Linked DNA regions of Canis lupus familiaris. The protein of the gene in region 3 purifies or fractionates together with the protein of the main gene of each other region. This does not show direct contact. Links are inferred from orthologs where the notes say so. Each region holds a gene or a part of one and is shown on either strand. Other genes may lie near its edges.

What was found. Proteins that work in one complex are often made in the same cells at the same time.
Region 1: the proteins of SMARCA2 (region 3) and DPF2 purify together in Homo sapiens (affinity purification with mass spectrometry; 6 studies listed by BioGRID and IntAct, counting the BioPlex papers as one, with this or other methods). This does not show direct contact. The link is inferred for Canis lupus familiaris from reciprocal best matches to the Homo sapiens genes SMARCA2 and DPF2.
Region 2: the proteins of SMARCA2 (region 3) and BCL7B purify together in Homo sapiens (affinity purification with mass spectrometry; 3 studies listed by BioGRID, with this or other methods). This does not show direct contact. The link is inferred for Canis lupus familiaris from reciprocal best matches to the Homo sapiens genes SMARCA2 and BCL7B.
Region 4: the proteins of SMARCA2 (region 3) and SS18 purify together in Homo sapiens (affinity purification with mass spectrometry; 6 studies listed by BioGRID and IntAct, counting the BioPlex papers as one, with this or other methods). This does not show direct contact. The link is inferred for Canis lupus familiaris from reciprocal best matches to the Homo sapiens genes SMARCA2 and SS18.

The regions. Positions count from the first base shown.
Region 1 is NC_049239.1:52,349,174-52,353,442, forward strand, and holds the start of DPF2 (zinc finger protein ubi-d4), read right to left. Parts: upstream 2,843-4,269; 5' UTR 2,724-2,842; coding exon 2,692-2,723; intron 1-2,691. UniProt on the Homo sapiens protein: Plays an active role in transcriptional regulation by binding modified histones H3 and H4. Is a negative regulator of myeloid differentiation of hematopoietic progenitor cells. Might also have a role in the development and maturation of lymphoid cells.
Region 2 is NC_049227.1:6,595,285-6,599,341, reverse strand, and holds the start of BCL7B (B-cell CLL/lymphoma 7 protein family member B), read right to left. Parts: upstream 2,843-4,057; 5' UTR 2,718-2,842; coding exon 2,626-2,717; intron 1-2,625. UniProt on the Homo sapiens protein: Positive regulator of apoptosis. Plays a role in the Wnt signaling pathway, negatively regulating the expression of Wnt signaling components CTNNB1 and HMGA1.
Region 3 is NC_049222.1:91,431,954-91,435,513, reverse strand, and holds part of SMARCA2 (probable global transcription activator SNF2L2), read right to left. Parts: intron 3,255-3,560; coding exon 3,081-3,254; intron 2,007-3,080; coding exon 1,833-2,006; intron 1-1,832. UniProt on the Homo sapiens protein: ATPase involved in transcriptional activation and repression of select genes by chromatin remodeling (alteration of DNA-nucleosome topology).
Region 4 is NC_049228.1:62,527,692-62,531,864, reverse strand, and holds the start of SS18 (protein SSXT), read right to left. Parts: upstream 2,843-4,173; 5' UTR 2,753-2,842; coding exon 2,684-2,752; intron 2,169-2,683; exon of another isoform or gene 1,862-2,168; intron 1,741-1,861; exon of another isoform or gene 1,269-1,740; intron 64-1,268; coding exon 1-63. UniProt on the Homo sapiens protein: Appears to function synergistically with RBM14 as a transcriptional coactivator. Isoform 1 and isoform 2 function in nuclear receptor coactivation. Isoform 1 and isoform 2 function in general transcriptional coactivation.

The DNA.
Region 1 (4,269 bases), on a different chromosome or scaffold from region 3:
CTCAAGTTCCTCTGCTAGACTAGATAAGCTCTAACATATTCTACATGAGGGAGACCCCTAGCATGAGAAGCTGGGCAGAGTGAGTCTCTGTTGCTTATGTCCGTAATTCAAGATACACCGACAAACCACGCTCTGGAATCCGAGGGGGGCTTCTCAGAGCAGTCACAATATAGTACTTAGGCACAGCTTAGTATGTTCCCAAGCAACTGAAAAAGACATACATCACACACAAGGCGATGCCTGGCTTGATTCAATGAGCAGTAATGCCTGTAATTTGAGGTAAGCATGAATTTTGTGTTGGAGAGTGAAGAGAAGGGAACAGGCTCACATTAGCTGGCCTTTAGGAGGCAGCCATGTCCTCACCACACAGAGGAAAATTGGATAAACAGGCCGAGTGCAGCAGCTCCTTTGTTTCTGCTGATGGGAATGGATACTGACACTGGAAGTCAAATGGAAGGACGGAGAGACAGGCTGAGGGCTGCAAAGTCACAGCATGGAGGCCAGAATTGGTTTTTTTTGGGGAACAATGAGAGATGTTCTATCAAAGCACTTGTGAGTTAAGTGGGATTTCAGAAGGTGGTTCAAACTGTCTTGTGAGTAAGAGAACTGGGAATGAAATGCCTAAGTTGGGGGGGGAGAGAGAATCTGATGAGGAGAAACTAAGAGAGAGTGAGAGAATTCATAAATAAGAAAATTCTCTCAGAACAAGATGCAAGCCAGAGAAGATGAGCTAGTAGTGCTGACCTCAATGTATAACCTCAGCTGTTCAAAAAACAAGCATACCACGATCAAGAGAAGCTCCAGAAAAGTATCTCTCTCCTGGGTGAGAATAGTACAGGAAGACTGGAAACCCCTTCTCAAAGGGCAAGTTTTGTAAGGAAATGTATTAATTGCGGTCCATAGTCCTCTGCAGCTAGAACTGAGGAGAAAGTTGGTTTCTCGTTACTAGTACTCAGGAACTAGTGGCTGGTGCCCCTCACAATCTCTGTAGTCCCTTTAATAGAAGTAAGTCATGCTCTGTTGAAATGGGCAACTCCTCCCTTCTAGTACTACATGAAAGGGTTGACAACTCTATTCCCCTGAAGAAAGTCTTCCAACATAAAGTCCCATTACCCGTGAACTCGCAAAACCTAGGCAAGTCTTACATTCCCCCAGTACAGTAAATTTCCAAGGTAGGAGCTCTGATTCTTTTCTGGGAAGCATGAAAACTGTGTAAAACCTCCCTTTACAATGGGATTGGGGTGGAGGGTAATCAACAAAGAGAAACGCAGGGAAACAAAGAACAGGAGTCAGGAAGGATAACTATATAAATGGTAGATCAACAGCGACATTTCTAAATTGAGGGAAATGTCAGCCTGAAGAAAGAGCTGGGGGAAACTGGAGTGGGCAGATCAGAGAGAAAGATAATAGTGTTGGGAGGAGGGGTAGCTGAAAAGAGGCCGCAGGATGGAGCTGAAAGCAAGTTAAAAAAAAAAAAAAAAAAAAACCCACAGGAGGAGAAGAAGGCACTTAGCTTAATGGAAGTGGGAATGCATTCTCAAAGAAAAGGCTCCAGGCGGGGAGGGGTGGGGGTGGGGGGATGTGGGCAAAGCAACGTACTCTCCATAAAGACTCTTGGGAAGAGTGGGGGCTCAGCCCACCACAAAGGCAGCTGAGAAGCTGAGTCCCTCAGAATAGTTCCAAATCTTTACCTTGTCATCCAGTCAAAATCCACAAGCCCTGCCTGGACAACTAGTCACCTCTCAATTTTCCCACCTCTGCACCAAGCCCAATTCACCCATTAAACAGAGTTCGCTCTATTCGTCCACCAGGTACGAACCCATTTCGATCTTCTTCAGGGAGGAGGCTGGGTTAAATCAAGTCCCAAAGCATTTTTAACTCACGGCCAACAGACCACACTCCATTTCCCCAACAACCATGAACTTTAACTTTGCTCGCAGCCTGCCCAGCAGCAGGGGACTGACTGCACAGCGCGCAGCACGCCGACCTAGATGCCCCTCTAGGCTGCAGAGGCGTCCTGGACCGCTTCCGTCCACTTCCCGTTTTTCGGTGGCTGGACTGGCCGGCGCAAAGGCCCTCAAGTTCTTTCCTTGCTGCATCCGCACCTCAACAAATTCTTCCCAATAATGTTTTTGGTCTCGGGTATCAGATACTCAAGACCCCCACCCCCCACCCCCGGACGTCACAGGGCTGTTAAAACAGCCCCGCCATGCTTAACCACGCAAGGGCTGCTGAGCCTGTTGCTCCAGGAACTGCTGCGGGCAGCGGGGCGGGAAGGGGGGGCGCCTGGCTTCGCGGGGACGCGGGTGGGTCCCGGGGCCGCCCTCGGCCCGGCCCGGCCCCTCCGCACCGAGGCGTCTGGTCTCGGGAGCGCACTCAGACCGTGTTTCTCGTCTGCAACGTGGGCGCCATACTCAGGACACCGCGAGCCCGAAGGAGCGCTCAGCCCGCACAGCCCCGCAGGGAGGCTGCCCGTAAGGGGCTCCCGTGTGCCCCCCTCAGGGCCTCCACAAGTTTCCAAAGAAGCGCAACGTCTTCCTGTGAGTCTCCTGTTGCCCTCCCTACTAGGAGTCGCAACAAGGCTTTCTCGGGCACGTCCTTCCCTCCGCCTAGTCCCCTGCCGCGCCGCCCCCTACTCCCAGGCCCATTACAAGACCTCCTGGCCTAGGAGAGAAAGAAACCACTACTCACAGCTTCACTACATTTTCTACCACAGCCGCCATCTTCCCTGCTCCTCTCCCTCAGGCCGGGAGGCCCGGAGCCCTCAGCGCGCAGGCGCAGGGACCGCACCGGGGAACCGGTTTCCTCGTTCCTCTGCGCAGGCGCCGCCCGAGCACGCGCGCCCGAGAGCAGCTTCGTGACTGTCCACAGGGGCGGGGGAGCCCAGGGAGCCCAACGCGCAGGCGCGACGGGCACGGGGGCGGGGAGCCCGGGGTCTTCCACCGTGAGGACCGGACCGGGGAGGGAGCGTCTGGGCTGGTACAGAAAGGAGAGGATTGATGAAATGATGACATGAAGCTGGTGAAAACTGGAGGCCCAGAGTTAGGCTAGATGGAGCCTATGCGTACTGCTGCCTCACCGACCTTTAACCTTGTGGTTAACCCTTTGTCCTCACTCACGGGCGCGGGGAGGGGGCTGTTGGTGGACAGCAGAAGACGGTGCACCATCCGCTTGGGCCTCCAGTCGTGTGCCCGTTCAGGGAGAGGAAGATTAACGTCCCGAACTGAGCAGTTCTTTGGCATGAGTATTGGAGTCTTGGCAAAAATTGCCTCCCCTTCCTCCCACAAAACCCTGCCACCAACTTCAGTGCTACCCACCTCCCTTGCTTCCTACTTCTGTCCCTCCAATTAGGCTCTAAGAACTTCCCTCCTGCAATTATCCCTGAATCTTTCGTACCATTCATTTCTCCTTCACCGTTGAATCGCAAATTCGTGTACAAACATGGCTTAACATCTTTAAAAATCAGAGCCCCTGTAAAAATAAAAAAAAATAAAAATAATAAAATAAAATAAAAATCAGAGCCCTGGGCAGCCCCGGTGGCTCAGCGGTTTAGCGCTGCCTTCAGCCCAGGGCCTGATCCTGGAGACCCGGGGTTGAGTCCCACGTCAGGCACCCTGCATGGAGCCTGCTTCTCCGGCCTGTGTCTCTGCCTCTCTCTCTCTCCCTCTCTCTGTGTCTCTCATGAATAAATAAATAATAAATAAATAATACAACAAAAATTACAAATTTAAAAAATAAAAATCAGAGAGCCCTTCCTGCAGCCCATGGTGGCCTTGGATTATCGTCCCATTTTTTCCATCCTTTCAAGGCAAAGTTTCTGTTTATACTCCGTATCTCTGCTGACTTATTTCCAAGGCCCCTTCTGCCCAGTTTAATGATTTTGTTCCTACTGGTTCGTTGAAACACAGACACCATGACACCACTGACCATTCCCTCCTTTTTCCTTTTTAAAGATTTATTTATTTAAGAAAGAGAGCGTGTGAAAGGAGGGGGTGAGAAGAAGAGGGAGAGGGATATGCTGAGCAAGGAGCCCGATGGGGGTGGGGGTGCTTGATCCCATGACTCTGAGATCATGACCTAAGCCAACATCAAGAGTCCAGCGTTCAACCCACATTCCCCCCACATTCCCTCCTTTTTCAAGCTCTTTTCAGGGTCTCTGAGACCAGCATTCTCTTAGATGTGCTCTAAGCACACTGAAGTTCCTTTACCTCTTTTGTTAAGTCTGTCCTTTGTTCCACTTGTAAATGTCACAGTCCTCAGGCCATGGTC
Region 2 (4,057 bases), on a different chromosome or scaffold from region 3:
GCATCTGCCTTTGGCTCAGGTGGTGATCCCAGGGTCCTGGGATTGAGTCCCATATCAGGCTCCCCACAGGGAGCCTGCTTCTCCCTCTGCCTATGTCTCTGCCTCTCTGTGTCTCTCATGAATAAATAAATAAAATCTTTTTTAAAAAGTTAAGCCTAAAAAAAAATTTTCCCCCAGTTTTGGGGGAATGCAAGTGACATTCTTGAATAAGGATTAGATTATGGACAAGCAGAGCTGGGGAGCCTGAAGAATGACTTGTGAAAGTTTCAAATCCAAATGTGAGGTTCCAGAAAAGCAAAAAAAGCAAGTGTTGTGACTGCTGATATTGATGATGCCGTTCAACAAACAGAAAGAAGAATCAACTACAGACTTAGCAAACTGAAATTAATTCCTGGACTGAGCACTCCACTTCCTCATGATCCTGTGCTAGACCTTGGGCACACAGGCAGCAAGATGTACAGTCCCTACCCTCACAGAGCCTCATTCCAATTGGAAACAGAAATCAAACAACTCATTTCATAGTTGCTTAATCATTAGACTTAACCACATCAAACTGCCACTTCAGTTAAGTTAAAAAGTCAAATATAGGAAATGTCTTATTGGGATCCCTGGGTGGCGCAGTGGTTTGGCGCCTGCCTTTGGCTCAGGGCGTGATCCTGGAGACCCGGGATCGAATCCCACGTCGGGCTCCTGGTGCATGGAGCCTGCTTCTCCCTCTGCCTGTCTCTGCCTCTCTCTCTCTGTGACTATCATAAATAAATAAAAATAAAAATAAAAAAAAAAAGGAAATGTCTTATTATTCAATCTAATACAATTGTGGAAAGTTCTATGAAGGGGACCTGATTTAGATTAGAAATCTTAAAAGGTGTCCCTTGAGAAAGCAATTTTTGTGAGTAGTTAACTGGTCAAGGAATGAGTAGTTAACTAGTCAAGGAGGAGAAGGTAGATGATACCAGGCTTCCTGTGGCTCCCGCTGAAAGATGGCAAGCCACACGGGGAAAGAGGGCAGTCTGAGCCAGTCCAGTGAGGTAGGAAGACCATCTTTGGTCTTTAACCTAAGAGCAAGAAGAGGTCACTGAAGCATTGTTTCTATAGCAGGGGAATGCTATGATAATATTTACACTGAAAAGTGAAATCACTCTGAGTGCAATGTGATGAATGGACTGGGTAATGAGAGTTGAAGAAAGCCAAGAGTTCCAGATGAGAGAGGATGGTCCTCTGGCCAGACTGCTGGGGCTGGGGGTCAGGGTTCAGCAGAGATGGCCAGAAGAAAAGGAAAGGTGTGCTGATTCTTAGGTTTCACCAAAAAACAAACAAACCCCAACCCTAGGAGGATTAGATTTGGAGGGAAAAAAATCATTAATTATTTAATATATATGAATCTCAACTACATATAAAGCTCTTATATATAAAGAAATAAGGAGGGGCAGCCCAGGTGGCCCAGTGGTTTAGTGCCGCCTTCAGCCCAGGGTGTGATCCTGGAGTCCCGGGATCGAGTCCCAGGTCAAGCTCCCTGCGTGGAGCCTGTTTCTCTCTCTGCCTGTGTCTCAGCCTCTCTCTCTCTCTCTCTGTCATGAATAAATAAAATCGGAAGGAAAGGAAGGAAGGAAGGAACTTGTGAGGGAGGGGGATCCCTGGGTGGCCCAGCGGTTTAGCGCCTGCCTTTGGCCCAGGGCGCCATCCTGGAGTCCCGGGATCGAGTCCCACGTCGGACTCCTGGCACGGAGCCTGCCTCTCTCTATGTCTATAATTAAATAAATAAATAAATAAATAAATCTTAAAAAAAAAAAAAAAAGGTACTTGTGAGGGAAACGAAGAGACACGCAAAAACAAAAACAACACCTGAAGTAATGATGCCCCTGGAGTGGATAGAGGTCTCTGGAAGGAAGGCTAACCCCTACCTGGGCTTTAAAACTATTACTAGCAGTCGGCCAGATTAAAAGACTCAAGAAGTTGGAGCAAACAGTTGGCTGTTAAACTTTTAATGTGATGATGCATCGAAGTTCCTGATACAAAACAGGCGGCCAACCGGCCCTGCAATGAACATCACACAAGCCGTTTCCAAATGAGGGTAGGTCTCGACGACTGCTTTATCAACAGCCTACCCAGCTGGCGGCGTGCGGGCCAGTGCACTGGGGGGAAAGGCGGGTTTTGATTCCCTTGACCACGGCTGCTCCCGTGACAGGTTTAGCGAGCAGCTCTCACCAAACTTAAAACGAGTTAACACGTAGAGCGCTCGGCCTGGCTGGCGGGAAACCCCCCGAGACTGTCAGCTACCACGCCGGGCAGCTCAGAGGCAGCAAGGCTCCCGAGACCCGCCGGGTGGGGCGCGGCGCGCGAACGAGGCCACGCAGCCACCACGGCGGCCGGAAGCCCGCAGCCCCTCCGGGAGACGCGCGGCCCTCGGGCAGGTGGGCGGGCCCGCGAGCCGGGCGACCCCCTGATTGGCGGCAGCCGGCGCGCCCTCTGACCTCACGCCGACGCGAGCTGCACCCTCCTCCCGCCTTCTCCCGCTCCCCCCTCCCCCCAGCGCCTGCCGGTCGGCGCCCACCCCGCCAGCCAGTCTCGCGCTCCTCTGGGCCTGGGCTGGCGACCCCGCCGGCACCCTCGGGTCCGGCCCCTCACCATTTCCGCACTTTCTCGATGGCCGCCATCACCTTCTTGATGTCGTCCTTGGCCCGGCTGCGGGTCTCTGCCCGGACCGACCGGCCCGACATGGCGGCAGCGGGAGCGGCGGGGGCCGGGGCACTGCTCCCAAGACCCAGGGAATCGCGCGCCTCACGCACCGCCGCCTGCCCGCCGCAGCAGCGTCACCGCAGCCGTCGCCCCCTCCGTGCGCGCGTGCGCGAGGAAGCGCGCGCACCCGCCCGCCTCTTGGGGCTCGAGGCCTCAGCGCGCCTGCGCGCCCCGCCCCGGGCGGCCCTCCCTGGGCGCCCCAGGAGTCTCCCGTCTGCCCCCGTGCAGGCCGCGGTTCGCGAAGAGCGGCGGCACGTGCTGCGGGCAAGGCGAGGTGCGAGGCGCTGCCCGTGGGCTCCCTTTCGGGGTTTGGAGGTCGGCACCTTTGCCCTCTTGCCGGGGTTGCTGCCTTTAGCTACGTGTTATGCATTTGACCCGAACGGGTGCGCGGTTCTGTTGCCTCTCCTCTCCAGCTCCCTTGCTTTCCGGATAGTACTGTTGTGCTCTAACCACAGAATCTCACACCTTAATTCAGTATATTCTCCTAACTTGGCACACACCGGCTCCCTTCCTGGAATTCTCATCACTTTACCTGTGAACTGACCACGTAGTCTACTAACATCCAGATCCAACTCAGAGAAGCCTTCCCCTGCTATCCTCAGGTTCCGCTTAGCACTCTACATCACTGTCTGATTTAATCCTGCAGTCGTTGACTGAGTGGTGCTTGCGTTCTGCAAGGCTACGTGGCCAATGCTGAGGACAAAACCTGGGTTTTTGCCTTCAAAGAGCTTCCAGTTCAGAACATCCAGACCAGAAAACAGGCCTTTTAAATGCCATTTTATGAATGATAGGCTAAAGTAGTCCTAATCCAAATAAGGGGTGTCCAGAGGCTTCCGGGAAAATATAACCTTGAAGTCGACCTCTGAAAACGGGATACAAGTGCAACTGCTCCAAGACATGTGTCCACACATTGTAGAACATGCTCAATAAATATTTGGGTGAATGTTGAATTTTGAGAGCAGCTTCTTTGCTCTCCATTCCCTCCCCCATATTTATTGATGCCTGCGGTATTTAGGGAGGCTTCATAGAGTAACAGCCTCAGGAGACATAAAGGAAGCAGGTGACAGTTTGCATTGATTGATTGGCAGTGGTTACTTCTCTCACCTCTAGAGAAACCTCCTTCTGTATGCCTCAGAAAAATGCCTAGCTAACTCGAACTCGACACAGCCTCTGACTATGTTCAGGCATTCATGACTAACATCACGATTTGATAAGCATATGCTGTCTTGCTAATGAGAAGCCTGGGAATAGCATCTGACTGACTGAGGACTGGAAGAGCTGAACCAGCATGTGGAGAGAAGGGATGATTCTAGAACTAATG
Region 3 (3,560 bases):
GACACTCAACCCACTGAGCCATCCAGGCGCACTTCAATAATCATTTCTAAAGGCAAAGACTCAAATGGACTTTGACTGTAATAAGTGCAACTTCTGATACATAGAAGCATTACAAACATTGCAGTTGATGGAAAATGTCAAATTCGGGGGGATTTTTGTCACAGACCAGCACAGCACAGAGGGCCTAGGTGACTGCAGACAAGGCATTTAGCACCTGGAGTCTGATGCTGCTAAGCAATAAAACAGATCCAGTAATTTCCACCTCTACCTCCCATTAAGCAACATTATGAGGTTAAATGCAATAAAAACTGACGTACTCTGAGCCATTTCAAGAGAAATCTGTTTTACACATCCCAATAAAAGGACATCTCAAAATATTTTCCTTGTGTGAAGCAGGATAAAAGGGACATGTCACAAAATCCTCAAGAGACAAGTGCACTGCAGAAATGCTGAGGATCTTCAGTCCTGGGGTGTCACTTCGGCATATGCCCGAGTGACAGCAGTTTCATCACCCAGTCTGGCTGCTGTCTGCCCCGTGCATGAGCCTGAACCTCAAATGCTATTATAACTCTAATTGCATTTGGTTATGGTTGATCTCACTTGAAGAAAGAGTGATAAAAAACTTCAGTTTCTCTGTTATCTGTATATTCCATCATTTAATTGCAAAAATTAATGATTTGCAAATGCCTAATCATTAGTGTCAAGCCAATCTGTTACTGAAGTTCTAATATAGTTTCACTCCAGTTGAATCAGACAAATTTGACTGCTTGCTGCTCAGATCACTATGAAATGGCCTCCCTAGCTAGTTAGAAATCTAGCGGACAGTCCTCTCCTTTCCCCCACTCCACCAAAAAAAAAAGGAGGGGGACATGGGGGTGGGTGGTGAGATTTAGTAGCACCTGGACGCAGAGACTTTTAAAACACAGTGTTTACTCTCCAGAATCCAAAAAAGATAATGAACACAAAATGCCAACCATAATCCCATCAAGGAAGACAGAGTCACTTGAAATTTTCCAGGGATGTAATTAGGGGCCAAGGCTAACGATTTCATCTCCATCCCATACTCCGGCATTATGTCTGATAGAATGTGCAGTATCCCCTCATTATAGATCACACACACTTTTCTGAAATCCACGGTGTGCTCTGGGGTCCAGTTCCAAAAATGAATGGTCAATAAAGCTGGATACCCAGGCCAACGATGTAAACCAATCCCTTCTGTATTTAACCGTCCATTAAGAAAATAACAGCACAAATGTAATGATCCACGAATAGCCTTTGACAATAAAACAGCCATAACCGAAAAAGTAACATTTCAAAATTAACTTAAAAATCACTTTTTACTCTGTTAGGAAGAATTTTCTACCACTAAAAAAAAAAAAAAAAAAAAGATAAGCACCAGAGGCTTCAAAAAACAGACCTTCTTTGAGTCTAAGACACACAACTTCATGACACACTCACTCAAAACAACCTGTGTCATTAGTCTCAAAGAGGCAATATTTTAAAAAGAACGACCATATCCATCCTTCTAGATTTGTTTGGTAAGCCTCCTACAAACTGTACCTGCCTTGATGTGAGAAGCTATCCCCTGCATGGCAAGGCTACCCCAGGATACAGAGATATTATACACTCATCAGCTGTGGCCATGGATTTGCGGCATGCGTTGTCGAGGAAGGAGAAGGTGCTTTCACTCTATTCACATTTAGTTCAAAGGGGCGTGTTCATGTATCTGATAAGCTGCTTTTACCCACTCTTGCTATGGTGTATTTAACACCCACAATACAGGTGTATGCAAGGACCCCACGGGCCTGGGTCCCCGCAGGCAAGCCCCTTACCATCAGTCTGCGCATTCTCTCCTTCTCGATTCGCTCCGTCTCTTTTTTCTGCTCTCTCTCAGTGTTGGCGTGCCAAGTTGCCACCGCTTTGGACAGCTTCTGGATCTTCCCAGCCACAGACCGATGGTACTCCTTGAAATCCTTTGCATGTTGCAAAATGCTGTTCAGGTATTCCTACAGGACCCAAAGGGAGAAGGAAAAGGACGCTTAAAGTCTATTTCCCAATGTCATCTGAGATTTCAGTGCAGCCCAGGAAAACGCTCAGTGAGCACTTCACAACAGTGGAAGACTAGAATCTTCTGTGAGGCAGGTGCCCTGCTATGTCTCCTGGTAGCTGAGCTGTGGGCTCTGGGGCTGGTGGGAAGAGGCGCCAGCTTGTGGAAGAGAAGCGTCTAGGACCATGGATATGGCCTCATGAAAAAAAGCAAAACCAAGGATTAACAGAAGCCCGCAAAATGGTGAGGACAAATTTAAAGCAAATCACCCTTGAATCAACCCGAGGGAAGCAGATATTTCTAGTGAGAGCCAGGTTATAAAAGTAATGCCTCTTCTGCTCTGACTTAAATGCCTTAGCCCCGAAATTTGAAATCAGGTGCGGGAGGGGCAGCTAAAATCACTGCACAGAGTTTGGACTGACTTTTTAAATAAAGGCGAGGAAATGCGAACCAACGAAAACCTGACATTTTTCAAAATAAAACTGAAGCCGGGGCACTAAATTAAGCCCAGGAAAACAAACAAAATTTGTAGGACTGCAATGCAAAAATCAAATCCTACATCAAACTATTTCCAAACCCCTAGAAAAGGATGTTTTAAAATATCTGTCCCTATGAAACCTCCAAGTGGGCCCTTGAAAAGCCCAGGAGACTGTATTTATATTTGCTATAAGAACTACTGGTTTTGCTCTCCTCTTGCCTCTTCCAAGTGCCCGCTCCTCGGGATTTTGCCCCAGGCAGCCCACCCTTGCCCATCCAGCGGGGCACCAGCCAGGGGGATGAGGAGGGAGACACCTGCCTGGAATGCAGAAAGCAGGGTCCTCCAGCAGCCCGGCAGGGCCTCCCTGCACCTTACATGGGGCGGCTGGACCGTGGGAGCTCCAGGGGACCTTTCTGCTCTGGGATGTGCCCACTGCCCACCATGGGATGTCCTTCAGTCCTTCTGGCTCCATCGGAGCTCTTGGTCAGGGTGGGGGGCACCTCTGCCCACATGGAGCGGGGGGGGGGGGGTGCCCCACCACCCACACCTCCGTACCTGGTGCTTCTGGCGGCGCTTCCTCTCCTGCTCGATCTTTTGCTGCTTCTCCAGCTTCTCTGTCATGCGGGCCTCCCGCAGGGTCTGGCGCTTGCTCCGCTTGTAGGCTTTGGAGTTGAGGGCCGTCTCCAGGGTTGTGTCCCGTCGCATGCAGGCCACCACCTCCTGTCTCAGCTGTCAAGGGAAGGGAGCAGTTGGAGAGGCTGCGGACACAGAGGCCTGGCTCCTGGGCCCTGCCCTGCTCCAGCTCCCAGTTAGCGGGGCCGACTGCAGGGGCTCCACGAGGTTCCAACCACAGCTAGACTTTTGGTACACTGGGGGCCTGAATCACGCCAAATTTACGTGGTATTTTCAAAAATGGTATAAGTTTCCTTTCCACGCAATTCAGATAAAGGGGGATAAAACACACCAATGTATCCTGCACTACAGCACTATAAAAAAAAAAAAGCAGATGCTGTATTGGTTTTTAAATAAATTAAT
Region 4 (4,173 bases), on a different chromosome or scaffold from region 3:
GGTCTTTCCTTTATTCTGATAGTCCATTATACACTGAATAAGATGGTTATTTTCATCCAACATCTGAAATAAAATTAGAAAAAGTTTATTATAAACGTAGTGCATCACATAAATTTTTTTTTAAATCCTTCAGATTTCTAGAAATGTTTATTCATAAAGGAACTGAATCTATTCAGTTCTTTTAAGTCTTATTCTACACCCCTGGAATGATATGTTTAATCAGTAATTTTCAAAGAACTATATTCCAATTATTCTCCCCTTAAATTATTACCTGAAGCCCTAAACGAGTTTCTTTTGTATTCAAACATTTTATTACTTCTGCTACTTGTAATATAAGATTTAGCCTGTTAAGACTAAAAGGTAAGGGTCAAAGCTAACTTTGCGTCATTCTTATGCTCTGCAGGAGTAAAGAAACATTTTGTCCTTATCCACAATGAATACATGAAAATATAAGCCCATAAAGCTTGAGGAGATAGCTGGCTAGTTTCCAAGTGTTATACAGTATGGTTCTGTGGTTCATATACCAAATACGGAATAATCAAATACGATAATTTCTATGAATATGTATTCGTTACAGACTTTACAAGCTTACCTTATAAATTAAGTTGTCCCAAGAGTTTAAAAACAAAAAGCATATCAACTTATCATTCTACTGTCTTATAACAATTCAAAGCAGTATTGGCTTAAAGGATTAAATAATTCATCTAAGTAAGGGTGCACTGAGGAAAGTACTGACATAGTAATGAAAAGACCAGTTAGTTTTAGTGCCAGCCTCACAATCCTATGCAAATCACTTACGATTTTAAAGACTCAGATTTATCTTAAGGTCAAGTGACAGGAGTAGATGTTCCTCCTGAACTTGTCCTACATTTCCAAGACTCGATAAACATAAAGTATAATACAATAATCACTCTACTTCAATAACTTAATGTAGCTCTTTTAATCAAAAACAAAAATCCACTGAATCTTGTGACTTTCTTCCCACATAAGAATCACAATATTCACTTGCTAGAAAAAAAAAAAAATATATTGACATGCTCTTCCAAAAAGTGCAGTTATTTCCTAAACAGAATCATCGGATGCCAAAAAAGAAAAAAAAAGTCTTTAAAATCCATTAGTCCAATCTAATGATTTCACAACATAATCTCTTCAGTTGAATACTCAACCTAACAAACTTCACTGGAGAATATGTCTCATTTCTAACATCAATCTCTCACACTGTAAAGTAAGGCTCTTAATTTAGAATCCGTTTTCTCTTCTCATTTCAGAATGAAAACTAATTGATCTGCATCTCCTGAGTAATCACTGGTAGTAAATATCTTAACATGTATGCAAGAAAAACTCTTTGAAAACCAACCAACCAGCCTTAGGACTCTTCTACGGTCCAAAATTTAAAAAAAAAAAAAAAAAAAAAAAAAATGAATCCCTCCAAAAACATGTCTTTCGTGCATGTACTTGGAGCTGTTTGCCAGGCTGCAGACTTAGCCCAACGCACTCTATGAAACTACCGCCACTTCCAGGCACTGACAGGCCGGTTTGTTCAAATAAATAAATAAATAAATAAATAAAGCAACAGTTGGGCAAATGTCAAATGCCACGCGAGAAAGAAGGTGACAGTCAACAGAAGCCCGTTAACATAATCTGCCGGCATACAACGGTGCCTGAGGGGTACGAAAAAGTGGACTTTTCTTCGGTTTTCATCTTCATCCCAATGGATACAACAGAACCGCGATACCTAAGGTAAACTGCCGAATTTACCAAGTAACTTTTCAAAGTCTGGTTGACTAAAATTCAGATTACGGTCTTGCTCATCGGCAACAAGGGACAGCGGACAATAAAGCAGCTTTGTTTGTGTCCCTAGCTGGCAGGCAGCGGAGCAGCGACCGAGGCAGCACCCCCCTCCCCCGTGCAGGGAGCACCACTGCGTTCCAGGTCACGACGGCCGGGTGGTCTCCGGGGCTAGACCGCGGTCACCACTGCAGGCTCAGCACCCGGCGCAGGCGCTCAGAGCGGACCTGCCGCAGATGCACACGGCTAGGGGGTGAAGCCGGAAGGGACGAGGACGTCGGAGGGGACCCCCGAGTCCACAGGGGCCTCCTTCGCCCGCCCCTCAGGCGCCTGCGGCGTCCCCCCGACTTCTCCCGGGAGCTCCCCAAGGCGGCGGGAGCGCGCGGCGCGGCGGGGGGCGGCGGGGGGCGGCGGAGGGCGGCGACCCACGCTGCGACTTCCCCTCGGCCTCCCGCGACGCGAGGTCGGGTGTGCGGCAGCGGCGGCGGCCGCGGCGCGCGGGGCGGGGCGACGCCGAAGTAACTCCGGAGCGGCGCGCGGGGCCGCGGGGGGCGCCGGCTCCCACACACCGCCCTTCCCCGCGCGGCCGTCGGCGCCGCCGGGCGCACGCGCCCCGCCGCCCGAACGCCGCCCCATCCCCGGAGAAATCCGGCGGCGGCTACTTGGGCTTTTGTGCCCGCAGGAGAGAGCCCAGAGGCGCCAAGGGCTCCGTGGGGGGGCTGGTTCGCCGCCTTCCGCCGCCCACTCGGGCACAGCCCGCGGCTCGGGTTCCCACACGCGACCGCCTCCCAGCAGGCCCGCCTCCGCCCCCCGCCCGGCCGACTCCCGGGCCGGCCCCCGGCGGCGCCCCCGAGGGCGGGATGGGCCTGGCATCCCCGACCCCGCGAGGCTTCACCTTCTGGATCGCGGCGGGGGTGATCTCCCCCTTGCCTCGCTGCCTCGGGGCTGCGAACGCCACGGACATGTTGCCGCCGTCACCACTACGGGCAAGTCCCGAGCGCTCCGGGGGAACGGCAAACTGGGGGAGAGACGCCGGCCTCTCGGGCCGAACCACCTCGGGAACGCGGGGAGGGGGGATGCTCCGGCGCCGACCGCGCAGCCGGCCGGCCCGGCCCCCAGCTCTTCCTCGGGCGCGTCGCAGTCGGGGGCCGGCGCGGGACCCGGCGCCGCAGCCCCCGCGGCGCTGCCCGGCTCTCGGCCGACCTCCCGCCCTCCGCCCCTCGCTGGGCCGTCCCCCCCGCGCCGTCGGAGCTAGTGGTAGGGCCGCGCCCCAGTCCTCCCTCCGCTTCAGCGATTCAGGAAATGGTCCCGCCGCCGCGGGAGAAGGAGAGGCTGGGGCAGACCCTGTCACAGGAAATGCGAGCGCCCGAGCCGGCCCGCCCCTTTCGCGCGGTGCCACTTGCCTGCCTCTCCTGCGCGCTGAGCCGCCCTCCGCCTGCGCTTCGGCGCTCGGCTCGAGACCCGATTCAGTTCTGTCAACTTCATCCTCAGCGGCCCCCGCCCCCGGGAAGAAGGGGCCGGCCCGGGCTGTCCCGGCACCGGGTCAGGACCTGCGAGCTCGAGCCGCCCGGCGCCGCGCCTGCCGAGGGGAGCAGAGGTGGAAGGTGTAGGCGGCCGCGGATTCGCTGGTTCAAACCGCCCGGCTACGCCCCGGAGGCGCACCTCCGAGTCCGCAGCCTCGCAGGCGCACGGGCGCGCCCAACAGTCGGAAAGTCGGCGTGGCCGTGGCCCCAGTGGAGCAGGCCGGCTGCGCGCGGTCCCCGAGGCCGCCCACGGCCGGCCGCCGCGTGGGGCAAAGCCCTGGCACAGACGCGCGCCGAATTCGTCGGACGAGGAGCTTCGGGACTAAGTTTTGAGACCGAGCACCCTCACGGTTTTCCTTTTACAGTTACAGACTTGATTGCTTTGTAAATTAGGCCCAAGCTGCCAGGGTTCAAATCAGTGCGAGGGGAAAAAAAAAAAAAAAAATCCCAAAGCTCTCAAACTAGGGCAGGAACACGGGTCAAATGTGGGTAAGGTACTGGCCCTGGGGAGGGGCGGGGGTTGGGGGTGTAATTATTCTGTAAATGTGGACTTCCATAGAACACAAAGGAAACGTTTATGTAAGACGTAGCCGTCGCCCAACGGTAATGAGGCTCAAAAACAACTCTTTCATTTACATATAAAACTGGGGAAAAAAACTAAGAAAAAATGCATATTTTAAAGTTTTTGTTTCAAATATATGCTCTTCACGAGAGGCCCTAAGTTTCATTAAGCAAACGTTGGTAGTTTTGTGTGCTAGGCACCTGGGATATAGCGGTCATACGGTGGACATGGAACCTGCTCTCATGGAGCTTATATTCTGACAAGGCTGACAGATTAGAAACAAGTATGTAAATATGTAAA